Linked DNA regions of Diceros bicornis minor. The protein of the gene in region 1 purifies or fractionates together with the protein of each later gene. This does not show direct contact. Links are inferred from orthologs where the notes say so. Each region holds a gene or a part of one and is shown on either strand. Other genes may lie near its edges.

Region 1 (10,525 bases):
GGTCTGTCTGTATGTCCAGGCTAGGCCAGAGGCCTTGACACCATGTCTCCCCTCTCCTGCCAGGGGGTGCCGTGCCCCAGAGTGCCCCGCCAGTGCCATCGGGTGGCAGCCACTTCCGCTTCCCTCCCTCAACGCCCTCTGAGGTGCTGTCCCCCACCGAGGACCCCCGTTCGCCACCGGCCTGCTCTTCATCCTCATCCTCCCTCTTCTCGGCTGTGGTGGCCCGACGCCTGGGCCGAGGCTCTGTCAGTGACTGTAGTGATGGCACATCAGAGCTGGAGGAGCCACTGGGAGAGGATCCCCGGGCCCGACCGCCAGGCCCTCCGGAGCTGGGTGCCTTCCGTGGGCCCCCACTGGCCCGCCTGCCCCATGACCCCGGCGTCTTCCGTGTCTACCCCCGGCCTCGGGGTGGCCCTGAGCCTCTCAGCCCCTTCCCTGTGTCGCCGCTAGCCGCGCCTGGCTCCCTGCTACCCCCTCAGCTTTCACCGGCTCTGCCCATGACGCCCACCCACCTGGCCTACACTCCCTCGCCCACGCTGAGCCCTATGTACCCCAGTGGCGGCGGGGGCCCAAGCGGCTCTGGGGGAGGCTCCCACTTCTCCTTCAGCCCTGAGGACATGAAACGGTACCTGCAGGCCCACACTCAAAGTGTCTACAACTACCACCTCAGCCCCCGCGCCTTCCTGCACTACCCTGGGTTGGTGGTGCCCCAGCCCCAGCGCCCTGACAAGTGCCCACTGCCACCCATGGCACCTGAGACCCCACCAGTTCCCTCTTCGGCCTCGTCCTCCTCTTCCTCCTCTTCCTCCCCATTCAAGTTTAAGCTCCAGCCGCCCCCGCTGGGACGTCGGCAGCGGGCAGCTGGGGAGAAGGCTCCGGCAGGCGCTGACAAGAGTGCTGGCATTGGCATGGGCGGTGGTGGCAGCGCAGGTGGGCTGCCTGAAGGGGCGGGGGCGCTGGCCCCACCACCACCCCCGCCACAGATCAAGGTGGAGCCTATCTCGGAAGGCGAGTCGGAGGAGGTAGAGGTGACTGACATCAGTGATGAGGATGAGGAAGACGGGGAGGTGTTCAAGACGCCTCGTGCCCCACCTGCACCCCCCAAGCCTGAGCCCGGCGAGGCACCGGGGGCAGCCCAGTGCATGCCCCTCAAGCTGCGCTTTAAAAGGCGCTGGAGTGAAGACTGTCGCCTGGAGGGGGGTGGGGGCCCCGCTGGGGGCCTTGAGGATGAGGGCGAGGACAAGAAGGTGCGTGGGGAGGGGCCTGGGGAGGCCGGGGGACCCCTCACCCCGAGACGGGTGAGCTCCGACCTCCAGCACGCTACAGCCCAGCTCTCTCTCGAGCATCGAGATTCCTGAGGGCTGTGGGCAGGGGACCCCTGTTCCCCCAACCCCCATGCTTCTTTTGCTGCCTTAACCCCCCCATGCCCCGGAGGTGAGGGCAGCTTTCTAGTCTCTTTCCTGCCTCCTCCCTTTCCCCTCTCCACATTTTGTATAAAACTTTTAATTTTTTTTTTTTAATGGTGAGGGTGGGTGGGTGCCTAGGGCTGGGAGCTGTCCCCTGTCTCTCGGGTTTCTAAGCTCCGGGCAAAGTGGTGGTGGGGGGAGGGAGGGGGGAGTTAAGGGGGCCACCTCCATTCTGGGGAATTTATATTTGAACTGAGGCTCGGGCCTCAATGCCCAGGAACTTTTTTATTACAATCGCTTAGGAAGTAAAGCCTTGTTTCCCTCCCTGTTCTCTGCCTCCTGTACCTCTCCCTCTCCACCCATGGCTATCCTCAGCCCCCATTCTGCCTTCCCTGCCCCTCCAGGGGCCACGAGTGCCTGGGTTTCTCATACCCCACAGGGTTGCAGCAGAGGAGGGAGGGACATTTTATGATGAACCAAAAATTCCGTGTCGGGGATGGGGGGGTGGGGGGCGGAAGAGGGTGAGGGGTGCCACCCATAGGCCACAAATCTCTACAAGTGCCTGCTGTCCCTCTCCCGCTGCCCACCCCAGCACCAGTCCAACCCTTTCACCCCCAGCTGCTCCTAGGACTAGCCCATAGGCAGGGGGGTAGGGGGGGTGGGAAAGGGGTGCCCTGAAACCAAACTGGAAGCCCCCTCTGCCTCCCACCTGGGGCCCCTGGGGTGGGGGTCTGTTGTCAAGCCTTATTCTGTATTAGGGATGGAGGGTGGGGGGGAGGGAAGTTGGGGGCTGCTGGAGAATGTATTCAAAACAATAAAACTTTGGACCTTTGGATGCAGTGATCTGTCCTGGGTCCTGGGTGCTGGGTGCAGCTGCCACAAGGCCACAGCTTTCGCATGATTCTGAAGGACGGGCCCCAAATGGCCCCCCGTGGATCTATGGCCAGACAGCCTAACTGCCTCGGAATGAGGCAAATTCAGGCTTGGGAAATGCTCTCCCAACCTCGGGGGCACATAGCCTAGCCCCCATGGGCCTGATGAGTAAGGTCCCAGGCACACTCGTCCTCTCTGACTGCTCCCCTATTCCATGGGGATCTGCGCGTCCTTGGAAGCACTTTAGGCTCGTCACCACCACACCACTGTCCTTGCTCTTCTGATTGCCTGCAATACCTTTCCTCTCGCTCTGAGTTCCTACCCAGGACCCCAGACTCTGCTAAAGGCCTGAAACTCCTTTTGGACCACCCCTAGTAGCGTGCCACACATCATTTTTAGGGCGCTTCTGAGTTCATTTGGGACTCCTTTGGCGACAGGCCTGCACTGTCTCTTGAAATGTAGACTTTGCAAGGTCTTCCTATGGAACCATGGGAACACCCTCTGCCAGCAAGTTGGGAAGGGCCTAGCTTAATCCTGGTTGCTATTGATTGAGCTACTGTGAGCCAAGTACCTAGTACCTAGTTAGGAGCTGCAGTGCTTTATCTCCAACATCCAGCAAGGTAGGGGCAAGTGCCTCAGTGAAATGACTTGCCCAAGGCCCTAAGCCCAGCCAGGATGGGCTTAAATGAGGTCTGTCTCTGAAGCCCGTGTTCTTTCAACAACCCCTAAAAGCCGGGATGGTTGGATGTAGACCAGGGTCTCAAGATCATAGGATCTGAGTGGTGAGCTCATAAAGCTAGAAGCCCAGGTTGGAGAGTTCGAGTCAGGGATGAGAGAGTCAGAAGGAGGAATCCAGGCATGAAGTGCCCTTACAGACAGCTCAACCCTTTCAGTGCAGGTGAGGAGCCTGAGGCCCAGAGAGGGGAAGGAGTTGCCCCAAGGTCACACAGCTGCTAAGAGAGTGGGAATTGAGGGCTCAGGGCCTGTTGAACAGGCTGCACATGAAACCCCACCCTGTGCAACTCTGAGGGGAAAGAAACTGGCAACTCTTATCCACTCGATTCATCTTCACTTCATGCCAGCCCAGGGTGGGTGGTCCCAGATGATGTCTGTTGGCAGTGAAGAGAGGATCCAGGGCTGGGGTACTGGCAGGAAACCTAAGCTCCAGAGGCGGCCTGTGGGCAACTGCTCCCTCTCCTGGGTGATGTAAGGCACTCCCTGGGGTGGGGGCCACTGGGCTATTTCTGGAAGTTGGGATGAGGCATGTTTCTTGGCAACATAGATGCAGCTGAGTTGGTGGCGGTGTGATGGAGAAAGGGGGATGTCATCACTGTGGGGAGGGGGAGGACCCTGACTAGTCTCAGCCTCTGATGCCAGTGCCTTCAAAGCACCTCTAACCAGGTCTAATATGGACTCAAAAAGTGCTCAGCTCCAGAACTGCTCTCCAGGTCAGACCACAGCCCACCCAGACTTGCTGCCCCAAATTCTGGCTGAGTGGGATGTCACTGGTGCCATCTGGTCTTGAAAACACCAGCGGCTCCTCTAATCTTTAATGACGCACTTAAATCTATTCACAGTTCCTGTAAGACCACACCCTTGCTCCCTTCCACATCCTCCGGGATCTCTGAGTCCAAGTAGAAAGCCCTTCGTAGATCTCACACGACTTCACCAACTAATTCATCCCATCAGAGACCCCCTTCAAACCTATAACCCCCAGCACCCTCACACACCCCCAAACCTCCTTCCTGATGCTACTCAACCATCCCTCACCCCTTCAGGTCCCTCAGAGATCCCCTCAGTCACCAGTAGTTTCTGAGTGTCCCATAGACCTTTTAAAGACACCCTAAGTCCCCTGACTTCTCTACTGGTCCCCAGTAAGATCCCTTCACCTCTCCACGGACTCCCCTGAGCACCTTCAGATACCCATAGGCCCCTCAGAGACACTTAGAACCCACCCTAGCACTCCTCCACAAACGTTCTCAGCCCCTACAAACATCCTGGTAAGATCCCCTGAGACGGTCGCCCTCAGACTCCCACGGATCCCAATCCCTTCGCGGCGGTTGCCCACGCGTGGCCCATTGCGCATGTCCCACGGGTTCTGGCCGTTAAGTAACGGCCAGTTAAGTAACGCTGCGCTGCCTGCCCTTGTGGGCCTTCTTGGTCCGGTGTACGATTCCCCAGGCTTTGGAGCTTCTCTCAGATTTTTGCTTTTCGACTCCGAGCTGCCATCAGAGGGCAGCAGGCACCGGTTGGCTGAGAAACTACAATTCCCAGAAAGACTCGCTCCGGGCTGTGCGTGATGCAGCCACATTCATTGAGAAGGGAGCGGAAGTGTGTCCGCGCTTTGCCTTCTGGTTAATGTAGTCTGAAAAGGTTTTAGCGCTGCCTTCTGTCGCGTGTCTACGTCCGCTGGGAATTGCAGTCAGGAACAGAATGAGTGGAGACTTTCTTCAGGCTTCAGAAAGCCCAGACAGGGCGCCGCCCCAGTGGCATAGCGGTTAAGTGCGGCGGCTCCGCTTCAGCAGCCAGGCGTTCGCAGGTTCGGATCCCAGGCGGGCACACAGGAATGCTTGTCAAAACATGCTGTGGCGGCGTCCCATATAAAGTAGAGGAATATGGGCACAGATGTTAGCCCAGGGGGAATCTTTCTCAGCAAAAAGAGGAGGATTGGCATCAGATGTTAGCTCAGAGCTAATCTTCCTCACCAGAATAAACAACAAAAACAGCAGACAGTATGAACACAGGTTGAGATTAAAGTCTGGAGACTCCATTTCCCATCATTCCGCGAGGCGGGAGGGGCTGAGGGTGATTTTATTCCAGTTCCACGTACTTCCGGGACACACACACACACACACACACACACACACACACACACACACACACACACACACGAACTCTGTTTCCCAGCGTCCTTTGGGGCTACTGTCCTTCCGGATATTAATCGGTAAATGGGGCGACGTAATGCGTGCACAAAACCCGAGGCTACTCCTAGCCGCCGGCTTCCTTGTTTTGGTCCCTCCAGGATCCTGTAACTAGGAAGAGAGAGAACGCAAAAAACTGAATGGGGGTTCAAGACAAATTGTATTTTCATCTTTTTTAACGCTTGGCTCAGCCTCCTGGTACAACCCACATTGCTAGAAAAAACTAGACTGTATCCGAAGACTATAGTGTTCTGAGAAACCGCGGGAAACTGTTTCCCAAATCGTTTGCGGGGTGTTTTTCCTTTCCGATTTGGGGAAACTTGGAACTGGAAGGAGTGTTTGGACTTCATTTTCCAGCAGCCCCTGACTGATTTCGGCTCTTCCTTGGGACCTGGGGGCGGGGAAGAAGTGTTTGAAACACTCTTCAGTCTCCCCAGGGTACTGCCGTCTTTCACCTTTCGCTCACGCTCTCCCGAGGGTTCCCATTGGACTCCACTTCCCGGCAAGCCTCTGCAGTCTCGCCTCACAAAGGCTCAGGATCCGGTCTGGACTGTTCCCCAGCATGTTTCAAGCTCATGGTAGATCCCTCCCCTTCAGTCAAAGGGGAGGCTGCCTTGAACTCCATTTCCCAGAAGACAGAAGGGTTCTCCGTAGCAACGGCTCGGAAGTCGTGGTGTTGACTACATTTCCCAGCAGGGACTGCGGCCTAGCGTGCGAGGGAGGAGGAGCGCTGTACCTACTCCATTTCCTAGCCTATCTCTGGAACTGCAGTATCCCCTTGGGGGGTGGGGGGTGGGGGGTGGGGGGTGGGAGTGGGGGGGCTCAGGGATCACAGGGGACTCCATTTCCCGGCGTGCTTTGGGAGTCGCTTTACACCTGCAATGCGGTGAGGGCGTGGCGACGAATCCATTTCCCGGCTTGCCTCACAGCCCGATATCTGCGGGTCTACAGGCGCTGACTCAATTTCCCAGAGAGCACCTGGCGCCGGTCATGGCGCCGGTCAGCATACATAGCCAATAGACTAAGTAAGCGACCTGACTCCGTTTCCCGGCGTGCATCAGACCTACATAGCTCACTGATGGTGTGGCTCCGACTACGTTTCTGAGGCACACCTAAGGGCTCGTCGTTGCCGCAATGGAGTGAGTGTGCGACTCTGACTCTGCTTCCCAAAGTGCTTCGGGGTCCGCTATCGGCACAATCGGCCGACTTATTGCCCAGGACTCTATTTCCCGACGTGCAGCGCGACCCATCATCCCCGCGGTTTACTCTGAGGCCTTGGCGGACTCCATTTCCCAGCGTGCCTCGCGGCGCTCCGTGCGCGCCGAGGGCGGCGACCGCGGCGCGGAGGGCAGGCGGACTGCATCTCCCGGCGTGCCCCGCGGCGGGCGCTGGGCCGGAGCCGGAGCCCGAGCGGCGCGGCCTGGAAGAGGCCGGAGCCCGGGGGAGGCGGCGGCGGCGGCGGCAGCGGCGGCTGGGGCAGCCCGGGCAGCCCGAGCCCCGCGGCCTGGGCCTGCGCTCGGCGCCATGAGCGGCGGCGCGCCTTCGGGGGGCGGCCCTGGGGGCTCGGGCCGGGCGCGAACCAGCTCGTTCGCTGAGCCAGGCGGCGGAGGCGGCGGCGGCGGTGGCGGCCCCGGAGGCTCGGCCTCCGGCCCGGGCGGCAGCGGCGGCGGGAAGACGTCAGTCGGAGCCATGGGTGGGGGCGTGGGGGCCTCGAGCTCCGGAGGTGGCCCCAGCGGCAGCGGCGGAGGAGGCAGCGGCGGCCCCGGCGCGGGTACCAGCTTCCCGCCGCCAGGAGTGAAGCTGGGCCGTGAGTACTAGCGGCGCCCGTGAGGGGTGGAGGTTAGGGTTCCTGAAGCCCCTCAAACGTCGATTAGCTTCTTCCTTATGCCAAGATAGGAGCTCTGGGTCGCTGTGCCTCCCAAAACTGGGAGTTGAGCTCTCCGCCTCCCGGAGAAAGGGATTTGGGGGATTACCATCACTTGGAGTTTAGAATTAGAATTATTAACTCTAAAAGAAATAGGGATTACAGGTTTCTCTTCTTCCAGTACCAAGGTCTTGGGTCCTTGAGCCGTAAAAACAGGGATCTGACATTGCCATCCATTAGAGAACAGGATCAGGGGTCATCGTCGCTTGCAAATAGGGCTGAAGGATTATTGTTCCCAAAGAAAACAAGAATAAGATCACCACCACCACCACCCAAAAAGGGGGATCTGAATTTGCTTCCCTTTAGAGAAGGGGAATTTGGGGTTACTGTGTCCCCAAAGAGCAGGGCCAGGGCTTTCCAAACTTGCTACCCAGCTCGTCTTCCCTTTTAAAACACAAGCTTTAGTATCATTACCCGTCTATAATATGTACAACTGTATCCCCATTGGTGGAAATTAATGGTTGCTGCTTCTTAGAGATAAGGACAGATTGGGAGTCAGCATACCCTTCAGACCAAGTTCATAGTCATTGTTCTTCAAAAAACTATGACTTGGTGGGTCTCCTTTCACAAAAATGGAATGGGGGTTGGGGAGGGTCATAGTTCTGCATAGAATATAAATCTGAGATTATATATCTCTTTCATTGTTCTGAGGTATGGTATCATTGGCTCTGGAAAAATAGCTATGTAGGATCATCTCCCTCCAAAAGAAGGTGTCACTGGCCCCTCAAAATGGATTTGATTCATCAGTGACCCCTTTTCTTTGGGGAACCTTTCATCAGTTCGCTGAAGAAAAGGGGTCACCATCCCCTGAGAATGCCACCAAAGTTCACTGCCATTTGGAAAATGGAATGGGGAATTCTAGCTTTCCTTCAAAGGACTGAGGCTGAGTTAGCTCCCTGATAATAGAGGTCAGGTTCACCATTCTCACAGTTGGCTTGCCCATTAGGGACCACCCATATACAGGAAAAGAGGTCTGGGGCTCTGGACCACACAGATGAGGAGGTCAGGTCAGTGCCTTTTCTAACCCCAAAGTATTTGGGTAAGGGTTAACTGACCCCAAAAAGTGAGTCAGGGCACTAGCACTCATAGCAGGAGGAGTCATTGATTTCTGTCACCAAAAACCAGTGGTGAAGTTACCAGCCCCACTGGGGAAGACTTAGAGGTCACTATCCCCAGAGCTGTGAGAAACATTAGTGCTTTCCCAAAGTAGAAGTACCTCAGGGTTTCCGCTCTCAAGTGGAAGAGGTTAGGTCAGGCTTTCCCCAGTCAGGAGGGGCCAGAGGGCAGTGAGCTGAGTAGATGGATTCAACATCTGGGAGAGTCAGTATCTCCTCAAACCAAGAGGGACCAGTGGTTTACTGCTTACTAAAAGTGGAAATTAGGGGTTACCAATCCTTGAACGGCAAGAGATTTAGGTGTCAGTATTCTCCCATATGGGAGGAGGCAGGATTCCCCTGAAGGGAAGAGGGGAAAGGGCACTGGTCCTCAAAAGCAAGGAAGGGACAAAGAGGCCCCCAGTAGAGATTCCCCTTCCTCTCACAGCCCCACGATGGGGTGGTGGCCAGAGGGGAAAAGTCAATGGATTGTGTGTCCCCTTTGTTGTTCCCCAGGTGACAGCGGGAAGGTGACCACAGTGGTAGCCACTCTAGGCCAAGGCCCAGAGCGGTCCCAGGAGGTGGCTTACACAGACATCAAAGTGATTGGCAATGGCTCATTTGGGGTCGTGTACCAGGCACGGCTGGCAGAGACCAGGGAACTGGTGGCTATCAAGAAGGTTCTCCAGGACAAGAGGTTCAAGGTAGCTTGCAGGGAATGGGGACAAGGAGGTTTGACTGGGCCTGACTGGTGAGAGAGCCCCAGTGAGAGTGCTGGACTTGGGGTTCCCTGGGGGATCTGAGCATGGGCCAGAGGGGAATGGAGAAAGCAGAGAGTGAGTTGTGTGGAAGATGGGATGTGGGTTCCAGGAGAGCCCAGAGTTGACAGTGTTGGTTCTTTTGCTCTGTGTAAGTGCTTTGTAGGCAGTTCTTGTTTAATTTATGTAAAGATTCTTTGAGGGCAGGTACTGTTGTTATTTCCATTCTAAGTAAGCAGAAACTGGAAACTGAGACTCAGATAAGAGAATTGCCCGAGGTCAAGACTAGAATCTGCCCTCTAATTCCCAAGCCCTCCATCTTAACCACTAAGCTACACTTCTGCCAAGAGGAGAAAGGAAGCTGGTGGGGTTGATGAGTATGTTTGCAAGGCTGAGCTCTGCCCCAGGGACTTGGCAAGTGCAAGGTGAGCCTGTCAGCGCTCACCAAACCATGTGCCTTGGTGTGGGGCTCTGTCCCCCTCAGGAAGGGGTGCCCTGTGAGCTAGTGGAGGCCCAGGGAACTAGGAGATGGAGGAGGTGGAAGTTGAGGGATAACTGGTGTTTGAAGGACTGGCATTTTGGAGCCCAGGTTAGTCTGGATGTAGGAGAACTGAGCCTAGGCTGGGAGGGAACCAGGTCAGGGCCTGGGTCTTGGCAGTGTGTACTCTCAGGGGCAGGAGGAGCTCCAGGTGTCAGTCAGAATTTGATTTGTGTAGAGTCCCAGAAGTGAGAGGGATCTGAGGGTGGGGAGTTCTGAGGCCCCGGAGGGGAACAGAGAATAGGGGAGAATGCTGAGACCGGGCCTTCTGGGAAGAGGCTGAGGCTAGATCCCTTCTCGGAAGATGAGAATTGGAAGCCTGGAGTCTGGGACTCAGAATCCAAGCCAGGGTTCAAGGGCTCAGATGCCTCCAGGGGAAGCAATAAGGAGGAGTGGGGACCAAGGTGAACTGGATGGCCACTACTTGTCTGTTGTTGCTGTGCCATGCGGGGAGGCGGGCCTCATGTGGCCACATTATCTGATTTTTCAAGAGAAGCTGGAAAACTGGATTTATACTTGATGTCGTTTGATTTTGAAATGTTAGCAATAAATCAAACATTTTTTAAAAGTGGGCTGAAGACAGCACATCTGTGGTCAAGATTTAGCCTATAGACCTCCAGCTTGTGTGTGAGGGGAATGGGTTGGGGGTGAGGAATTAGGGGCTCCCCCAGAGGGGCCTTGGAGCTGGGACCCAGGGAGTAGCTGCCTGGCTCTGTTGGCAGGAATGGGGGAGTAGGGCTGTGGTGAGAGGTGCTAGGGAGGGGAGGCAGAGAGAGTTGGTTGTTTTCTGAGGCTCTCTCCCTTTGCCCCCAAGAACCGAGAGCTGCAGATTATGCGTAAGCTGGACCACTGCAATATCGTGAGGCTGAGATACTTTTTCTACTCCAGTGGGGAGAAGGTGAGCCCTCCAGTATAGGGGAGTTCTCCACCTTGACTCCACCTGTTTCCTGTCTGCCTTTCTCATGATTGCCTGTCCTCCCCCTCATTATTCCCCACAAACCTTCCCTCCCC
Region 2 (10,095 bases), on another chromosome or scaffold:
TGTAGACTCCTCTTGAAAGAAGTTTGCCAGCTATCTTCTACTACCTGAGTGCCCTGAAGCCAATGAGGCAAGGGACGAGGACATAGCTGCAGCATTGGCAGGTTACATAATAACGCACGTTGAGGACTTGATGTAGGGAAGGTTCTTCAACGGGGAGCAAAGGCCAGAATCTCTCCAGGTGTTCTGGGGCAGGCTGTGACCCTGCCAAGTATCCTGGCCCACTGTGCAAGTCTTTTAGAGCCCAGGAAACTACTCAGTCAGCTTCTGGAAACGCCCAGGGCAGATCAAGAAACACTGACGTGCGAGAGTAAAGGAACTGATTTCAAACTTGGTGAAACTTTAGTTTCCAGAAGTTGTTTTAAATGAGCAGGATGAAACATCAGGGGCAGAAAAACTGTCTGTGGAGAGAGCCTATTTATTAGCAAAGTTTCACATGTTGCCAGTTGGATGACTGACTTTAGGGATTCTTTTTTCTATCTATTTTTCACATCCTTTTCTGAAAACAACCTTTTATGTGTCTGTCTGCTTGACACTATGGAGAAGATAACTTTAAAAATCAGAACCTCTTTCTGGATGTGCTTTAATATTGATGGTCTCTTCTGGTTACAAGCTCAGTCCAGCTCCTAAAAGCCAAACTCCAAGACAATGATGAATGGTGAGATGCTGAACACCCAGCAGTTTGTAGCTCCATTTAAAATAAATATTAAAAGCACTTGAAAGTAAACCAGATTAGGAAGTTTTAAATTATTGTTTCACTTAACTGTGTTTTAAATTTAACATACCAAAGATGATAATTTTATTAACAAATATGTTTCCCTAACACTCCTATGAATAGGATTTCTCAGGAAAACCTTACTTTTTTGCTTGTGGCTTTGAAATCTCCACCTTCACAGTCTCAGGCCCCCCTCTGCAGAGGGCAGAAGTAGGGAGAGAGAGTGGCAGGAAGTTAAGTCCGCCTTTTCCTTCTCTCCTCCTCTCAGGCTCTGTTCAAGTCAATTCTCCCTCAGGTGGACCAACCCCACTGATGTGCCCATGGAAACGTCTGCCACCATAAAAGATTTGGTAGAACCACCCAGAATCCGGCTGAGAGTAGCCCTGTTCTGGGGGTCAAGTCTGTACATAAGTAGGGGCTGAATGAAGTTGAGCTTCAGGGGAATTTCAGGCTGAAGCCCTGTGGTGATTCTTTTAGGAAAGCATCCGAAATCACATTTATCAGCCCTGCGGGGAAGCCAGCCCTGCCCTGGGTGTCCTTACCACGGTATGGAAGAAAAGAGGGTGAGCCCGGAGTCAGGACCCCTAGGAGGTTCTAGCTCAGCTCTGACATGGGCAAAGTGGTCTTGGGAAAATCTCTTCACCTCCTCTTTCCTTAATTTTCTTCATTTCTTAAATGATGGGTTGGATTAGATGATACTTGAAGGGTGCCCTGGCTAGAAAATTCTGATATTTCTTTTGGGGGACTGGATAGGACTGCCTTTGAGAGATGGCAGAAAGGCACAGGCCACTTTGCTTTCCAATCCTTGCTCCTCTCTGCAGGGAAGTCGGCCGAGGTTGGCGGGGCGGGGAACGGACGGACTGGCTCACCTCTGCAGGGCCTCCTTGGTCCACTTCCAGGTCCCCACCCCCAGGCTCCTAATTGAAGGGGCATCTTTGCTTTGGAGTTGGGGAGTTTATTCCCAGAACAGGGAACAGATGTTGAGGGAACAGGGTGACTCTGCAGAAATAGCCACCATGTTTTGAGCACCTACTGTGTGTCAAGCATCGTGCTGGGCATTTACCTTATTGCTTATCCTCACAACAGCCTTTCGAGGGGTGTTTCCTCCACTCTGCAGGTGAACACACGGGGACTCAGAGTGGTTAAGTGACCTGCAGTCTCAGGAAAAGTTACCTGTGTCTGTCTCTACTTCCCTCCCTAAACAAAGGTACACTGTCCAAGGTGGTACTTTTTCAAAGAAATAAAAGACAAAGTCACTGAATCTTAGAGAGCAATGTCCTGAGTCTGAGCTCCTCTGCAGTCACAGCTGGTGTGACTTCCCCTCCAGAGGGATTTTGTGGGGCTGACTAAAGGTCGGAGATCTGGCCAGATGCCTCTCAGGGAGCCCTGAATCCTCATTTTCTGGGATTCTAGGATTTCAGCCTCATACATAATTCCAGAAAAGAATTACTCTCTGCTTTATTAAACTTGTCTGCACTTAGGCCAAGTGGGCTGTTTATCCTCTGTAGGGTTTTTCTTTAAAGGAGCGGGGAGAGTGAGCATGTGCAGAAATCCATCACCTTGCTTTCCAGTTTCCAGGCAACCGTGCGGGATTACAACCAGTCACATGATATCACTGCTGCCAGGGAGAAGGGGAAAATGGAAAACTGTGCTATCTTGAGAAAGCGTATAAGCAAAGGACTTTGGATTCTCCTCCAGAAATATTATCAACAAGTAGTCCAAGACCTAGAGGCTCTAGGGCCCCTGGCTTCTCAGCACTTGGCCCAGCTTTCTGTGGGATGGGAAATGTACCCCCAGATACGAAGTGGGGGGAGGGGAGTAGGGGTGAGATGAAGGGGAAGTCATTGGCCCAAGGTGAACTAGCACCTGTTCTGGAAACCAGGCTCTCAGAGGGGTTGTTACTGAGAGGATCCAAACCCAGCTAGGCTGTGCTCCTACATCCCCATCCCCAGTCCCTCCTTCCTGCTGCTGTGGCCCTGGGATAATGAGGGAGCAGGAGAGTCCTTTGCTTAAAGCGGAGCCCATGATGATTAGGGCCGGCTGGGGGGCAGTGAAGGGTCAGCTGGGATGGGGGGAAAACCACCCATGAAGACCAAGTTTCCACTTCCTTTTTTAAAGGCTCCTCTTTCTGATCATTGTTTATTTTGATTTGGGATGTTTTGATTTTTCTATCTCCCCTCCCCCACATTGTGTGTGTGTGTGTGTGTGTGTGTGTGTGTGTATATGTGTGTGCTTGCGCACGCACATACACACGCGCGCTGCTGTTGTTTATATTGTAGACGCTTCTATGGCAATTCATTCCCCTCTGTATACACTTTTGTTCCTGTAATAACACCCTCTGTGGCCTAAAGACTCCCCAGAACCACAGGGACAGCTTTGCTCCTGGCTCTCCTGGGGTCGCCGGAGGGGGTGGGCGTGCCCTTGGCCATGGATCCCACATACCAGCATTCCGGAAGGCAAGGCTGTTAGAGGAGCCGACCTGAAGTGGACTGGCTTCCAGTTTCCTCACACCCAGCAGTTGTCCCAAGGCAAAGATGAGTCATCCAGCCACACTCTTTCACTGGCCTTCCTAGCGTGCCCTGAGGTGGCTGTATTTCATAGCCTGGACTGCTGGCTTTATGCCAGCCTGGCCGCCTGGGGAGGTGAGCCCAGAGGGGCAGACCATGGACACAAAGAGGCAGGTATTGGGGAGGGCAATGCCACCCGCCTTGGCACCCAGGAGCTGAAAAGTCTGGCAGCCTGGGCTGCAAGGACTCTAGTCACTCGTCACAGCCCCGTAGGCTGGGGGCCATAGTGCAGGGTCCTTGCTGCCTGCCCTTTTCCTGCAGATCATGGGTGGTGTATCTTCCTCCTTTTTTTCTTATGGAATCCCAAACAGACAGATATGTTTCTTGCATGTTTCAAAGTTCTGACGCCCTCATGACAGGTTAGAGGCACCTCTGCCTTGAAGAGGGTTTGTCATCCTTTAAGCTCAACAAGAAAGTAAACAAAGGAAAAGGGAGTTGAGTTGGAGGGCCTCGCACAGCTCCAATAATGCTGGGCTCTCCCGTTCCCTTCTTGAACGAATCTGGCTTATACCTTTATGTTTTTTAAGAGGAGGAAAAGTTAATTATTAGCTTATCATATGAGGCATCATTTTATAGCAATAGATGAGTAAATAAATAATGTTGTAGGTTTATGGCATATTTTCTCGTTAAGTGAGAAGGTTATGCCTCATAACATTGTTGGGGGAATGTGGGGAGGAGTTTTCAATACATTAAAAATGAGGGTGAGGGGAAAAAAGACATTCCGTGTCTGTTTAATATGTAACATATGGGAGGATGGGGGATGCTTGCGAGAGAGTGTTGGGTATGCAGTTGTTAGAGAAAGATGGTCCATGTGTGCAAGGAGGGTTCTGACGGCCAGGTTGGGAAGTCGGGGTTAAATCTTCAGGGAATTGAGGGATGCTTCTTATTTTTTTTTATATTATTTATTTATTTATTTTATTCCCCCAAAGCCCCAGTAGATAGTTGTATGTCATAGCTGCACATCCTTCTAGTTGCTGTATGTGGGACACGGCCTCAGCATGGCCGGAGAAGCAGTGCGTAGGTGCCTGCCCAGGATTGGAACCCAGGCCGCCAGAAGCAGAGCTGCGCACTTCACCGCTAAGCCAGGGGCCCGCCTGAGGGATGCTTCTTAACGAGGTGTCAGAGCCCATCTCCAGCACTCAGGCCTGTGCTGGCAGATTCACACGCCCATCTTCACACTTCAACCACAGACAGTGGTTCTAACCCACACTCAGAGACACGCACGCACATGCCTTCTGCATCCAGGCCCGCGTTCACCCTATGACACTTGGTCAGTCGATCTCAGGACCAGAACTCCGTTTAAAAGATCCTCCAAGCCCAAATTCCCAGGGAAACTTGAAGAGAGGTAGAAAAGTGTTTGATGACAGAAAAAAAAAAAAAATTCTGCTTGCTTGCAGTTCTTGCGATGGCCAGAATGCTACAATAAACTGTTGCTTTCCAGAGCTGGGGAGGGCGAGGGCAGGCAGCGGGAGGAAGTCAGAGCAGAGACCGGAGAACCTGAAACACGGAATCAGAACTCAGGCTGAGAGAGCCTCTGGGGCCGCGGGGGCCAGGCAGGGGGCGGAGGAGGGCCGGGGAAGGGTTAACGCGGGAGCCGAGCGTGCGGCGGGGGCGGGCCGGGCGGGCCCGGGAGGGCGCGGGGCGCTGTCCCTTTAAGGCGGGCGGCGCGGGCCAGCCGAGCGTGGCTGTGATTGGCGCGGCGGGATCACTGGCTCCCCAAGCCCGGCCCGGGGGAGTCGGCTGGAGCCGGCAGCGCTTTGATAAGGTCCTGGCAACTCAGTAACAACCCGAGAGCCGGGGAATAAAAATAACCCCTCGTAGCAATGGATCTCGGGGCCGCCCGGCGTCCGAGGCGCCCGTCTCCCCCGCCGAAAGCCCTGCTGTAAAAGGTGGGGGTGGAGGCGCGGCCTCAGCAGAGCTGCTTCAAAGAGAGCCCCCCTTGGACCAGGGGCGAGGTCGCGCCGAGTCGCGTCGCGGGCGCCGGGGGCGAGAGGGGTCCGGCCCGGCCAAGACTGGGCCAGGAGGGGCGGTGCGAGCCGGAGGGCCCCGAGGAGGGGCCGCGGGGGCACGGGGGGCGGCCCGGGGCGCGGCTGGTGCGTACCTCCCTTTCAGGACCGTGCGCTCGGCTCGCGCCTTTGAAGTGCACAGTTAAATCCACAGCGCAGTTTTTGTTGGAAGCGCCCGGAGGACATTTGGTGCGCGGAGTGACTGCTGGAAACAGGACCTGTGTTGAAAGCCGGGCCGGGCGGGGGCCGGAGGGGCCGGGGGCGGCCGCGGCGGGGGTGGAGGCCCACTCGGATCTTTTGCATAAAAGGGGCGGCGGGGAGCGCCGTTTCCCCCTCCCTGGCCGGTGGATCTCGCTGTAATCCCGGGATTGTTGTTTCCCCGCACCCCCTCCCCTGCCGCGCGACTCCCCATGTTCCCCGACGCCGGGACCGGCCCAGGGGGGCCCGGGGCTGCCGCTGCGAGCCTATCCGGGGGCCGGGGCCAGGGCCCTGCCCGGGGCGCCTGCGAGGTCTCGCTGCGGAGCGCGCGCGCGGATCAATGGTGAGTGCCGAGGCCGCGGCGGCCGGGCGGCCCGCGCGCTTTGATGTGCCGGGCAGCCCTTTGAAGTTGGCAGGCCGGCTATTTCGGGGCGCGCTCCGGGAGGGCGCGGAGGGGAGCGGCGGGCCCGGCGCCCAGCGCTCCGGGGTGCTTGGCCGGGCAGCTCTGCGCGTCCGGCGCTCGAGCCCCCTCCTCTGGGGGTGGCGGGGGGCCCCGGCGGAGAGACTTCTGCAAGTGGCGGCTGCGGCGGGGGCGGAGAGGGGCCAGATCCCCCCCGGGGCGCGCATCGCTGTCGTTGTTATGGATGAGAGTCGGGGTGTGAGTGTGCGCGGGAGTGCTTTTGGAAGGTGGGATGAAAGGGTGGCGGCGCCCCCCGCTGGCCCTCCCCTCCGCCCCCTCCCCTCCACCCCATCCTCCCCTCCTGCCTCTCTCACCCCCCCTCCCCTCCCAGCTACTGGTGCGCGCTTAGGGGCCCCGAGCGCTGGCCGAGGCTCAGTCTGAGCGCAGGAGCGGCCCGAGCCCGGGGCGCCCGCGTCCCCCGCGTCCCTCCTCCCCGCCCGGGCCTCGCGCCCCCGGCCCCTTTTGCGGAGAGGCAGAGACTCCGCGCGTCGCCATTTCTGGACTAGGCTGCTGCTTTCCGTGCTTTTCTGTGGGCGCCTCTGCGAGCGGAGGCGCCGGGGACCGACCCGCGCCCGGGCTCGGGGTGCCGCGAGCGCCTCCCGGAGCTCCGGCCCCGCGCCTGGCGGCCCGCTCGCCGGGGCTCTGGACGCGTTCGGTTGGATTTGGGCCGGGGGGTGGGGCGGGCCGGGGGGGCGCGGCGGAGATGAGAGCCCGGCCTCGCGCCGCCTTCGTCTTCCAGGTAACGGGGCCGCCCCACCTCCCCTCCGCCCGGGTAACGCGGCGCTACCGGCGGCCCCGCCACTCCGCCTGCTGAGTTGCCCAGCCTAGCGCCCTGAGGCCCCAGGCGGGGACCGCGCGCACCCACCCCAGGCCCGGGGTCCCGGTCCCTCGTTCGGGGTCGCGCCCCATCCCCCCGGCCCGCCCCTGCCCTCCTTAGTTTGATCCTTCCCGTGCTGAGGAAAGCGGCTTGTTTATTGGTTAGATAAGACTTTTTGCTTTTGGAAAAAAGAGACAGGCTTGAGATCAGTAGAGTCTGGGATTCTTGGCACAGGCAGTGGTAGCGTGAGACGGTTTCTGATCCGGTTTTGTAGGGTTCGCGGCTCCGGGAGGTGGCGGGCGGGGGGACGGAGGCGGCGGGTCCTGAGGCTTCTCTGCTCTCTTGCAAAGTTGGAAGATCAAAGTCTCGTCTTAGTAAGTTGGTTTCTGGTTTGAGGGAGCGGGGAAGACAGAAGTGTAGACTGAGTCGGATTCTTGGTGGGAGGCGGGGGCGCAGCGAACGTGTACATCTGGGTTGGGGAGGGGGGGCGTTTTCCTGCTGGGAGTCCGCGAGCCCATTCAGCCCTGTGCTGGGCGGGCTTCTTTCTCGGTCGAGGATCTTCTGAATTTTGAAGGAGTGGGAAGGGGGGGGTGCAAAGGGAAGGGGTGGGGTGGGGGGAATGGGAACCAGATGCCGAGGAAGGGCACGTTTGGAGCTCGAGTTATCTGTGCGGAGAGCCGAGTAGGGAAATGTACCGAAATTGGTTTCACCTGCACACAGCCCAGCGGCTGGAGTGCGCGTCTTTGGAGTTGATGCTGTCGGGGGAAGGGAGAGGAGGGGTGTGGAGTGGGGAGGGGCGGGCGGGACTACCCTGCGTGCGCCGGGGCCGAGGGGGTTTTGGGGAGGTTATGTCTTACACCTCCCATGCCCATCCGTTCCCGCCTCCCACCCTCGGGGCTCCCCTCTCACCTTTCCCGCCCCCACCCCCGTGTGTGTAGGGAGCTCAGATTTCGCCTTTGAAAACGCGGCGTCTGATACTTTAGATGAGCACCTCGCAGATAGCTGGGTTGCTTGATTTGAATTTGAGGAGTTGAAAAGCCTGTTTACTTTCTTGCTTTGATGTTGGGTAGATCTGGTTTTGATTAGATCAATACCCTTTTCTCTCTTCCTACCTCCCCCTTCCTTTTCTTTGCAGAAAGGAGGCTCAGATGAGCCCCTGCTGACTTGAGAGAGAAAGAGAGACCACGCTGATTGCTGAGAGGAACTGGAAGAAGAAAAAAAATTCCCAAACTCAGTGAGAACTCCCTCACCATGAGTAGCGCTGTGTTGGTGACTCGCCTCCCAGACCCCAGCAGCAGCTTCCGCGAGGATGCGCCCCGACCCCCGGTTCCCGGGGAAGAAGGGGAGACCCCACCGTGCCAGGCCGGGGTGGGAAAGGGCCAGGTCCCCAAACCCATGCCTGTCTCCTCCAACGCCAGGCGGAACGAGGATGGGTTGGGGGAGCCCGAGGGACGGGCATCTCCAGATTCCCCTCTGACCAGGTGGACCAAGTCGCTGCACTCCTTGTTGGGCGATCAAGATGGTGCTTATCTCTTCCGGACTTTCCTGGAGAGGGAGAAATGTGTGGATACCCTAGACTTTTGGTTTGCCTGCAATGGATTCAGGCAGATGAACCTGAAGGATACCAAAACTTTACGAGTAGCCAAAGCAATCTACAAAAGGTACATCGAGAACAACAGCATTGTCTCCAAGCAGCTGAAACCTGCCACCAAGACCTACATAAGAGATGGCATCAAGAAGCAGCAGATCGATTCCATCATGTTTGACCAGGCACAGACCGAGATCCAGTTGGTGATGGAGGAAAATGCCTACCAGATGTTTTTGACTTCTGATATATACCTCGAATATGTGAGGAGTGGGGGAGAAAACACAGCTTACATGAGTAACGGGGGACTGGGGAGCCTAAAGGTCGTGTGTGGCTATCTCCCCACCTTGAATGAAGAAGAGGAGTGGACTTGTGCCGACTTCAAGTGCAAACTTGCACCCACTGTTGTTGGCTTGTCCAGCAAAACTCTGAGGGCTACAGCGAATGTGAGGTCCACAGAAACTGCTGAAAATGGATACAGGTAAGACTTGCCCGGGCAGGGGGTGGGCCTGGGGGTGGGGTGGGGGTGTTGGAGGATGATACGGACTTTGCAGATGTTTTGAGTTAAGGAGGGTGGATGGTTGGATGGATGTGCTGCTGAGGCTGACAAAGGACTCTTGAGAGCTAGGACCACTGGCCATGAACTCTTTGATCTTGCTTTTTGTTCTTTAAAGGGGGGGGAAGTGATGCACACGCAGCTAAATACCTGCAGTCTTCCAGTGCTCACTTCAAACAGTGGCAAGCAGTATTCATTAGTGCGGGTTACTTATTATCCTAGGCCAGTCTTAGAAGGGGTAGAGAGAGAGAGAGAGGGGACAGCAGCTTTTGATGCCTCTGAGTCACCAAATACACTAAGCACCAGTTTTGGAAGGGGTCATTCACCACTCATCAGTAGAGAGTGGAATTAATGTGGCTGGGGAGGCAGCTGGGTTGTGGTGGAGGCACAGGAAATAACGTGTGCACCCATTGGACGTGGGGGTAAGTGGGATCTTTTGAACTTATGTTAAGATAAGAGCCAGCAATTGGCTTAACAACTGAACTTGTGGGTCTCTTTGTAGAATTAGGTATTTACCCAGCAAGAAACTCACCTAACTAGGGAAGGCTTGGTGACTTTCCCTAAGGAAGGACCTCTAGCTTTAGTCTGCTGGTATATTAATCTAGGTTTGAAATGCTTGCAGTCTGAGGGTCAGATCTTGGTTGATTATTTTGTGGCTTAGCGCTAATGGAGAAGATGTCTTGGCCAGAAAGGACTGGGGCCCTGGAGTACTTTCTCTTTTTGAGGCTCAAAGACAAACAGTCCTTTACAGAATGGCCAAGTCTTAAGATTCTTGACCTTTGGAGGCAACTTCAGACCTTCTGTTAGAACGAGTTTTTTCTCTCTCTCTCTCCGTCTCCTTCCAAATCTCCAAAAAGAGAAGGAGCCTCTTAATTCTAGGTTGCTGTTTATGGCATGCAGGGGAAGGGAGAGTGGTGGGCTGTCTGAATGGCTTATCTTGCTATCCATTGTGTATTTCTCCATGTGTTAGGGACCCGGGATGCGACCTGGTGGCTGCCTCTGTGGAGATTGCTCTGTCTTTGTAGGGTGGGGCCTCCAGCGTCTGGCAGCGGGAGGAGGGGCAGGATAGCCAGGGTTAAGCCTAGGAGCCCTAATTTAGGGGTGGCCGAGAGAGTTGATACTTCACAGGGAGGGAAGGGCTTGTTCTCCCACCACCAGGGGGCGCTCTTGGGAGCCAGTTTATCCACATTCAGA
Region 3 (9,697 bases), on another chromosome or scaffold:
GGACTTGCCTAATCTAGGCTTGGTATGCCAAACAGAGACTAATCCAATAAGAAGGAGATCATTGGGCTGGAAAGCAAAATTGACCCAGAAAAGTCTCAGAAAAGGAACATAGTGTGGAAGGCTAGATAGTGTCTCATGTACAGTCACTCCTGGGTAGTAGAGCTTAGGTAAACAGAAGGGCCCCAGCCTGAGCTCTTTCACCTCTAACTTGCTGCGACCAGATGCGACCAACGAGGATACAGGGCTTTCAGGCTTGAGAGGGATGATTCCAGTGAGATTGAAGACATTGGGTGGAGTCAGCTTCCCTGAAACAGATAAAGACAAGGAATGGAGAAAAGACAGAGAGAAAGGAAGAGTAAAAGGAGAAAGACAGAAGGGAAAGAGATGGAGATGGAAACATTAAAACTACACTAATGGTTATTAATATGGTGATCTTTAGCTCACTTGGTAATAGGTATCATGTCAGTAACCCCCACACACCATGGCCAGGACGGGGGTGATTCCTCTGCCCTGCACCAAACCCCTCCCCTTGGCTGTTCAGGGAACATCCTGAGCACACGCAGGCTGCTTGTATCCGTAGGGCTACCATCTCTCTGCCTCATCCCAAGGCAGAAAAGATTAACCGCCACATAGTGCTTGGGGTGAAGAGTGGAAAGGCGGAGTCAGTATCCTGCCCCTAAAGACGAAACACTGGTGAGAAAGAAGTCTTTCTCTTCAAATGACTTTACACAATCCCAAACCACAGCAAATAGGTCTTGGGAGGGGTTTCCTGCAGGCTGGAGAAGGGAAATGTAGGCCATGGGGACTTGAATCAGAAACTAGTTCTGATAAGTAACCTCAGATTAGGGGCAGAAAAATCACTCCCCCCACAAATTCTTCCAGTAAGCTTTTCCTGATAGCTGAAGTTGAGATAGCAACTTCTCCTCAGTTCCTCTTTGCTCTAAAAACTGCCTAAATCCAGAGATACTCTCTTGCCCACTATTTATATGGAATATAAAAATGCTGATTATTGGGCCGGCCCCGTGGCTTAGCGGTTGAGTGCGCGTGCTCCACTACTGGCGGCCCGGGTTCGGATCCGGACGCGCACCCACGCACCGCTTCTCTGGCCATGCAGAGGCCGTGTCCCACATACAGCAACTAGAAAGGTGTGCAACTATGACATACAACTACCTACTGGGGCTTTGAGGAAAAAAAAAGGAGGATTGGCAATAGATGTTAGCTCAGAGCCAGTCTTCCTCAGCAAAAAGAGAGGAGGATTAGCATGGATGTTAGCTCAGGGCTGATCTTCCTCACACACACAAAAAAATGCTGATTATTGATCTACGTTAAAAATATTCCCTCTACATTCACGTTCTTTCTGTCTATTCCCATCTAGGTCGGTTTAGATGTGAACACTGGACCTGTTCAACCTGTTCTCTATCAGCACTAACCATCAAGTCCAGCAGAGGTAGACATTTAATAAATGCTGTGGATAGTAAACGATAAAAAGCCACAAACCCTGCCCTCTGGAAAACATCTCCCTTCAACGTCCTTGCTCCCCTCGCCCCCTTACTCAGGGTGAGGAAAGGGAGAAATTAAACTTGTTAGGAATCTCTTCTCTAGTTTCCTCCTAACCTGAGACTATGCTTCCTTCTCATAAACTGACAGGAATTTAGGGCTCAGGAAAGGCCTGGGAGATGAAGTTGAGGTACATGAAAGTTACTGAAATAAGCCTAGTCACCCAAACTGATCATTTGATCATCCTCCTGATTCAAATATAATTCATTCTAGCTGCATCTCATTTACATGTTGTTAATTTAGAATCAGAGTAGCAAAAATTGCCTGCAGGCCTTACACTTTTTTTTTTCTCTCTCTCTCTCTTTTTCCTCCCCTCCCAAATGACACTTAGGATGAGCGTCAGAAGCAGAAACCAGAGCCTGGGAAAGTTTACAAAGAAAAGCAGAGCTCATTTCTTACCTTTTCTGTCCAGTGCCAGAAATGATCAATAATTAAGGGGGGGTTGGGCAGCTAGCTGACTAGAGGGATGAGCCAAAAGAAACCAGGAGCTGGACACTGGAGGGAGCTGGGTCTCAGAGAAACTGGGCACAGCTAAGTGGGCTAAGTCTTAAGAGGAGGGGCAGGAAATGTAATGGAGGATTTCCACTCTGCAAAGTGCACTCCTGGTGGGGTGGGCATGGAGTAATTCAGAGCAGGAAAGGATGAGGGAGAGGGTACTAAACAAACCAGGATTTCATTCTTTTCCTCTTCTCTTCCCAAGTCCCACGTGTTCTCTCCAGCTGGAATTATCCTCTGGTGGCAAGGGAGTTAAAACAGCCCTGGCCCCTCCCTAGGCAGTGGCAGTAAACAGCCGAAAGTTGGAAGAAGGATATAAAATGGGTATGTAGCTTCAATAAGACACCTCCCCAAGAACTTTCCTCTCCCCTCAAGTCCCTTACTGCTCCACTCCAATCTCCTCAGTCTGACCCAAATCTTCATGCAGCTAATCCTTTAGATTTTCCCCTTGGAATCCACCACACAGGCACCACCACAGTGCCTGTCTACTTGCTCGTGAGAGGGGAAAGGTTTCATTAAAAGGAAAAAATGAAGGGACCACAAAGTATTCCTCTTACATATTCCTTCTGCCTTAGCTCCTCTCACAAACCAGACTCATAGAGACCAAAGGCAGAAGGACGGTCAGTGTCACCTCCCCAGAGATGGAGAGGAAAAAGAGAACTGGGGTAGGAGAGGAGGTGAGGAAATGGTTGAAACAAGTTTTTACCTTAAAGAAGTGGGTGCTGTTCCAGGACTGAGAAGGAGAGTTCAGCTCTGGCAATTCGATGGGGGAGGTGGGTACAATGAGGGGCGTCGCCACAGTCCCAGCTGTCTTCCAGCTGTCAACGCCAGAGCTTTCACAGGTTTATATGGGTTTACAAGCGGCAGTCCTGACTGGGTCGTAGCCACTTCCGGACTCACACCCACGCCCAACCGGGGACACTACCGGGGAGGCAGGGGCGCAGTCCAGGTGCACCCGAGCGGCTCAGAGCGTCTTCGGATTCCTAAGTCGCTGAGTGTAGGGTTTGCGCTCCAGGCCCTGACTGAAAGCTGGTTTTCAAAGGAAGTTTGTGGTTTTTCTTTTTTCTTCTTTCTCTCTCTCTTTTTTTCCCATCGGGACAAAGAAAAATTAGTCAAGGACAAGCTCCCTGGAGGAGGAGGGGCCTGCCCAGCACTGGAGGATTTCCATCGGGGCTTTCTGACCTGGTCAGCAGCTTGGTGATCAGCAGTGAGGGAGAGAGAAACAAGGAGAGAAAAACAACAGACCCTTTCTCTTCCCTCCGCCTGCCTGCCGCTGGAAGGGACGGAGCGCTTGTGCCTCTCTGGTGAGAATAGGGAAGAGCAAGTGCCCTTGCTGATCGGGGAGGAGCAGGGCTGGACAGCAGCAGCTTGCTGGACCTGGGCTTTCTCCCTAGGTATGGCAGTCCTTTGCTCTGGATCCAGAGAAGCAGGGCCGAAGAGAGTGATATTTGCATATTTACCCATTTAATGCAAAAAAAAAAAAAAATACTGCTCCTTTCCAAGTCCTCACTGTATCATTTTCTTAGTCTAGAAATGAAACTAGTTGGGCTGTGCTCCTGGTAGAGCAAAAGGTGTGGAAGAAGCCCCAGGCCCTAGGAAGAGAGCACAGCAGGGAGAGAACTAGCTGAGCAAGCAGGAGATCCAATACCCCTGTGCTCTGGTCCTTGTTTCCAGCAGCGGCCTCAGCTTCTCATCAGTCACCTCCTCTCAATTCCTAGCTTGGGGAGAAGGAAAAGCTGGTGTCAGGCTGGTGGTAGGAAATAAAAGGATGGAGTAATAAATCAGGGAACATTTGACGATGAGAGTACATGTATTTGCAGTCCTCTGCATACTGTGGGGCTGGAGGGTGGCAGTTAAAGGAGGTTGGAACCCAACTCTACATTCTGAAGGGCCCTCCAAACTCTACTTACAAGGCTGCCTGCCGCAGGACGAAACTTCAAGCAACTCTGAAGGCTGAGAGGGCAGTTGGAACAGTTACCGAGGCAGGGAGCAAAGAACCCAGGTTACAACAGTCCAGGCAAACAATGAGGAGACATTTGCTGAGGCTACAGAAAAAACAGGCTACAGAGTTATAAAAGAAAAAGCAGCAGGAGTTGGCAAGAGACTGTAGGTATTAAGTAAAAAAAAAGGGGTAAGAGATTATTCTAATGTTTTAATAATATGGACAATCACAAAATTGGTGGCAATGAGTCAGTTTGGTAGAGAGGAGAATTCGAGAAAGGAAGACGAAGAGCTTTTTTGCCACGTGTAATTTAAGATGTCAACTAGATGCTCCGTGTAATATATGGAAAGATGCTATACTCAGCCTGACCCGAGAGGAAAAGTTCTGATGCCACAAAGATAGGTTACTGTGACAGATACATTTGTGTGTCAAATGAATGATCTCAGAAAATTCTCCTTCCCTCAATTCTTGGTGACATTTCGGAGCTTCTGGACTACGTTTCCCAGGACGCCCTCCGCCACGCCCCTCTTCGCGCTTCGGAAAAGGCCTCCCGTGAGTCTCCGGGCGCAGCACTCCGCCTCCGCTGCTGGGGGCGGGGCGACGTCGCACTCCGGGAGCGCCCGATTACGCACTTCCTCCGGGGGTCAGGGCCGAATCGCTGTGTGGCAGGTTCGAGTCCCGCCTTCTGACTCTCGCCTCAAGCCCCGGAGAACGGGGCGGGGCGCATTCGCCGAGTAACCTCTCCACGGCGAGGGGCGGCGGCACACCTTGGGCTTCACCATGGAGGCCTACCTGCAGGGTTGTCGAGCTGCTCTGCAGGTAACGGATGCCTGTCTGTGATCGTAAGGATTGGAGCATGGGGTCCAGGAAGGACGAAGATGCGGGATCTGGGGAGCCCCGAGGGTCTGTGTGGAGGGAACACGGAATTGTGAGGAGGGGGCTTGGGATCTGAGCAGGCCTGAGTAGTGAGGAAGGAAAACCTGGCTCTTGAGAGTGGGAATGCTGCTCAGTCTCCCGGTTTTTGGCCCCCTGCCGTTGCGGTCTGCCCGAGAGCGGGCAGGAGGAATCGTGGGTCTGAGTCCTGCATCTGAGCCTCTGCTCGCTGTCGCCTGAGTTAGTTCCGTCAAAAGGCGACTGTGCCGCCGCCAGTCCTGCCCCGGGAGGTGTATTTATTCCTTTCTCCCCGCCCCTCTTTGAGTTCTCCACTCACAAGGCCTCCACGTGAACCCCAGGGGTGCGAGGAAACCTGTGCCCACGCCTTTATTGCTTCTGAACGGCTGTTTCTGTCTGGCTGGCCTAACTCATTCTCCTTACAGGTGGTCATGGTTTTACTTTAAATCTGTTTTTAAACTAAACATGCACAATACATCAGGCATATCTGTTGACCCACAACCTGGATTCCTTTGCCTCCAGCTTTCTTCCTTGGCCTGAAACGTGAAAATCCTCCACCTGGAAGGGATAAGCACGGTGTGTTTGGAATCAAAACTATAAGCATGACTCCTGAATGCTTTGTGGCTTATTTTGGGTGCTCTCTGAGCCAGCTGGAATCGCCCAGCCACGCTGACTGGTCATGCAGCATTAGGCTGCTATCCCCAGTTAGCAAAAGGCTGACCAGGTCACCTGGCCCCCCTGCCTCAAGTTTCACTGCTCCTATAGAAACCTAGACAGATGGTTGATTGTGCCTTAACTTTTTAAGTATCTTAAACTCTACAAATTCCCCTGGGCAATAGATTTGGGTCTTTACAAATCCTAAAAGTCACCTAACTCCTCCTGCAGACTCAGCTGCTGATGTAAATGAATGTCCTTACCTCAAGAATGGGGGTGAAGTTCGATTTTAACAACAATTACACCAAATGTTTCTTTGTGAAATACAAATTTGTGGAAAGTTGTTTTAATGCATTAATGCATAAAGCAATTTGGAACCAATTCATTTTGGTTACCTCTGATTTCACCACAGGGAGCTCATTGGAGGACTAATGTAGAGTCTTTGTGGCACCGTTCAAAGTGCTAAGCAGTTGGATTTTTTTTTTCCCCAGTAACCCAAATAACTCTCTTTTCCACCATTTGGTAAAGAACCCTTGGACCTGAAACCTCACCAAATAGCATTTCATTGCATGCTCCAGAGTCCCCCGGGGTTAACAGTATATCTTCTCCAGCAGTATGAAGCTGAAAAATACTGGATTTTTCCAGTATTGCTGGTATCCTGACCTTTCTCTACCTGCATTCTTCCCCCAAGGAGCAAGATCTAGATCTTCTTTTTTCCAAACTTGTGAACTTATGACGGTGAGGTTGTATCTTAGACCTCTCATCATCACACAGCCTAGCAAGGGCCAGAAGAAATGAGAAAATTGGACTCTAGGAATGTTAGTGGGTGAACTGGTGGCAGGACATACAGGCCAACTTTTAGGTTGCTTTTAATTATAGAAGTAGTAAATGTACATAGTGAAAAATTTTAAATACAGAAAGGATGCGAAATGAAAAAGAAAAAGATCCTTTTTCTTCTCCCCATCCAGTTCACCAGAGGCCACACTGTTGTTTCTTAGATAAAGAAAGACATGATTTAGACAGAGACACTATTAAATTTGAATGTTTCTGTTAAACTATAGTATAAATTTTAGGGAATTGTGAATGCTTGCCTTTTTCACAAGATGGAGACAGCTGATAACCCAGCCAACTCTCCTGTTGATACCATATTTTTAGCATTTGATACCAGAGAAATTTTCTACAGCCTCTGCCACAATGATAGTAGAATGTTCCATTTAAAAGAAATCCTGTTTAACTAAATGTCCTATTCATGGTGACTCATTTTTCACTTCTAGTATGGAAAAATCTTTGCTGCAGGGTGGGGCTGCATGCAAGTTTAGTGGTTCATCCAGAAGCCTTCGGATAATCTGTGTCGTCTGCACTTCTCAGGCATAAGGTGGAATCAGGAGTGGCTGGCTATCGTTAGGAATTTGCATCAGTGTCAGTCAGTCCCATTTTCTCTGCTGCAAAGCTTTCTCTATCTCTGGTTCCTCATCTCCTTTTATTTCTCCCTCATTAACTATTTTGTAGAGTAGGCATCAGACCATATTCAGTTTCAGAAGGGAAGTGGTTTACTTTGCCAGCCCAGAGCCCATCCTCTCTCCCCCCATTGAGGCCACAAAGAACATCAGGATATAGTCATTTCAACTAGTGTTTTTTTCTTTTTTTTTTTTAAGGAAAAAAAGTTAATATTTACTTGTGGCTCTCAGATTGTATTTCTTCCATTGGCAGCTCAGGTTTCCTCATGCTCTAAGTACAGTTATATTTGCCCTGTACCCTTCCTCTCATGGTCAGAAAACTGAGGCTATTTGGCTTGTGTTTTCAGCTGGTGGGGGATGGGGTGGGGGAGGTTAAGAGTTACACATGTTTTTCCTAAATGAAGAGGAGAATGGTGCCTTATAAGTTGGGCAGCCATACACCCAGTTTGCCCAGGGCAATCTTTGTTTATTCCGGCATAATAATTCATCACACCTCTTTTCATTCTCAAAAATGTCCCGGTTTGGGCCGGCCCCGTGGCTTAGCGGTTAAGTGCGCGCGCTCCGCTGCTGGCGGCCCGGGTTCGGATCCCGGGCGCGCACGGACGCACCGCTTCTCCGGCCATGCTGAGGCTGCGTCCCACATACAGCAACTAGAGGGATGTGCAGCAATGACATACAACTATCTACTGGGGCTTTGGGGGAAAAAAATAAATAAATAAAATTATTAAAAAAAAAAATGTCCCGGTTTGAACAACAAAGTATATTGTCACCTAACTCATAAGCTATGTTAAGGATCTGGGATACTTGCCCATGAAAAGACAGCGAGCTCCTTAAGGCTCAGTTCCATATGAGAGCCACAAGTGCTGGAAGCTATAGGTTTTAGAGGAAGAGGATTGCTCTGGCCTGTGTGGTCAGGGAAGGCTTCACAGAGAGAGGGGGCTTGAAGTGGGGCTTGCCTGGTCGGGGAGGGGGAGAGAAGGGAGAAGATGGAAGGGAGCTCATCTTTACTTCCTACAGAATAGGCACTTATGTGCTGTCTCATTTGATCCTCACAACAACTTCATGAAATTGGTTACAGTATTATCCTCATTTTTATATCACGAAAATGAGGCGTAGAGAGGCAGAAGTCCCACAAGTAAGAAGCAGAGCTGGGATTCAACTCCAGGCTGTGGTCTTTCCAAATGGCAGTTCTGCTGCTTTCAGACAGAGAAGAACAAATAGTGCAAAGGGCAGAGCTGGAAATGTGCACAGCATGTTTTGCGGGTGGTGAATAGACCAGTCAGGCTGGCATGATGGTGGGAAAGGAATGCCACCACCTCCCTTGGTCACTCCTGTTCCAAGATTTGCTAAAAGTCCGAGTATTCCTTTGGTATTCGTTCCTTTTGGTTGCTTTCTGGGCTTGGCTGAGTGCAAGGGGTTAGTTATTCACCTTCCTCTGGAGGTCATTTCTCCTGACCTCAGAGCCATGAAGTTGTATTTGGTCCCTGCCTTTTGCTTTTCTGCTTAGCCTTCTCTCAATGCTGGGGATCTGACTGATCCTGATTCAGCTGCCACTTGGAACAAAGTGGCACTAATGTGAGTTTTAGAAAGGTTCTCTGAGGGCCTCTTTGTGCCCAGCAACAGGTCTCTCCCGCTTGCTCTGCCTTTTCTCTGTTACTCTTACCTTTTTTCTCCAAAGTCAGGGCCATATTGCCTGTCATGTTTATATAGTTCCCTCTCTAGACAACATAGTGCCCGCCTTTACTGCTTCAGTGAGCAAGTTATCTGTGCAGCCACTTATCTCAAGTGCTTTGTTGTCACTTTGGTCCACAGCCATCTGGGCAGTTCTTGGTATCCAGGAAACAGAGGGGCCTTCTCTGGTATCAGGAAGAAGAATTGTAAATCAGAGAAGTTACTGTGGGACTGGGGTCTTGGGTACAGAATTCTCGTATTGTGTTGGAAATGAATTTAATATTGAAAAGAATCTCCCCTTTCCCATGCTGTTCAGTGTGGATGGGTGTTGGCTGCCACACCTTTGAAGTAAACTTAGAGAAATGGGCATGGGGAGAACCTAAGGACAAACTTTCCCCATGGGCCCTTTGCCCAAAACCTTGACAGATAACCTCTGCCTTTTGTACTTCTCTCTAGGAGTGGGAGTAAGAGATGGGGAAGAGGGTGGTTCAAAAACAAAAACCTATCTAGTAACTAGATAGGGTAATTTATACCACCAGAAGTCTTCTAAAATTGTCCTTTACTGGCTGTGGCTTTCAGGGGGTCAGGTAACAGCCAGTACAGGGAAGATGATTCTAGGTTCCCCTAGGTTCTCTTTTTTCCTAAAGTTATATTCCTTGGAAACTGGAATCTTCCCTGATTGAAGAAGCCTTTATATTTGGATTTTCACCTTTCTGTGACCCACTATTTCTCAACCGGTGCAGTTTTGCCCACTAGGGAATATTTGGCAAGTCTGGAGACATTTTTGACTATGATGACTGGGGGTGCTGCTGGCATCTAGTGGGTAGAGTCTGAGGATGCTGCCAAATATCCTACAATGCACAGGACAGCCCCCACAACAAAGAATTATCCAGTCGAAAATGCCAATAGTGCTGTAACTAGGCTATAACCTAGTCGAAAATGCCAATAGTGCTATAACTAGGCTATAAACCTGCTATAACTAGGGTGTTTCATTTTGTCTCTCCTGTCCCTTCCTCTCAGAAGCAGGCTG

Evidence for each region. Proteins that work in one complex are often made in the same cells at the same time.
Region 2: the proteins of GSK3A (region 1) and AXIN2 purify together in Homo sapiens (affinity purification with mass spectrometry; 3 studies listed by BioGRID and IntAct, with this or other methods). This does not show direct contact. The link is inferred for Diceros bicornis minor from reciprocal best matches to the Homo sapiens genes GSK3A and AXIN2.
Region 3: the proteins of GSK3A (region 1) and PRUNE1 purify together in Homo sapiens (affinity purification with mass spectrometry; 3 studies listed by BioGRID and IntAct, with this or other methods). This does not show direct contact. The link is inferred for Diceros bicornis minor from reciprocal best matches to the Homo sapiens genes GSK3A and PRUNE1.

Annotation. Positions count from the first base shown.
Region 1 is NC_080773.1:17,020,085-17,030,609, forward strand, and holds the start of GSK3A (glycogen synthase kinase-3 alpha), read left to right. Parts: upstream 1-6,639; 5' UTR 6,640-6,724; coding exon 6,725-7,007; intron 7,008-8,734; coding exon 8,735-8,922; intron 8,923-10,328; coding exon 10,329-10,412; intron 10,413-10,525. Other genes in the region: ETS domain-containing transcription factor ERF, read left to right, coding at 64-1,358. UniProt on the Homo sapiens protein: Constitutively active protein kinase that acts as a negative regulator in the hormonal control of glucose homeostasis, Wnt signaling and regulation of transcription factors and microtubules, by phosphorylating and inactivating glycogen synthase (GYS1 or GYS2), CTNNB1/beta-catenin, APC and AXIN1.
Region 2 is NC_080757.1:49,432,992-49,443,086, forward strand, and holds the start of AXIN2 (axin-2), read left to right. Parts: upstream 1-5,072; 5' UTR 5,073-5,168; intron 5,169-5,556; exon of another isoform or gene 5,557-5,826; intron 5,827-6,071; exon of another isoform or gene 6,072-6,141; intron 6,142-6,326; exon of another isoform or gene 6,327-6,682; intron 6,683-7,118; exon of another isoform or gene 7,119-7,134; intron 7,135-7,895; 5' UTR 7,896-8,011; coding exon 8,012-8,826; intron 8,827-10,095. UniProt on the Homo sapiens protein: Inhibitor of the Wnt signaling pathway. Down-regulates beta-catenin. Probably facilitate the phosphorylation of beta-catenin and APC by GSK3B.
Region 3 is NC_080743.1:55,340,007-55,349,703, forward strand, and holds the start of PRUNE1 (exopolyphosphatase PRUNE1), read left to right. Parts: upstream 1-4,674; 5' UTR 4,675-4,774; coding exon of another isoform or gene 4,775-4,813; intron 4,814-4,819; exon of another isoform or gene 4,820-4,897; intron 4,898-9,697. UniProt on the Homo sapiens protein: Phosphodiesterase (PDE) that has higher activity toward cAMP than cGMP, as substrate. Plays a role in cell proliferation, migration and differentiation, and acts as a negative regulator of NME1. Plays a role in the regulation of neurogenesis.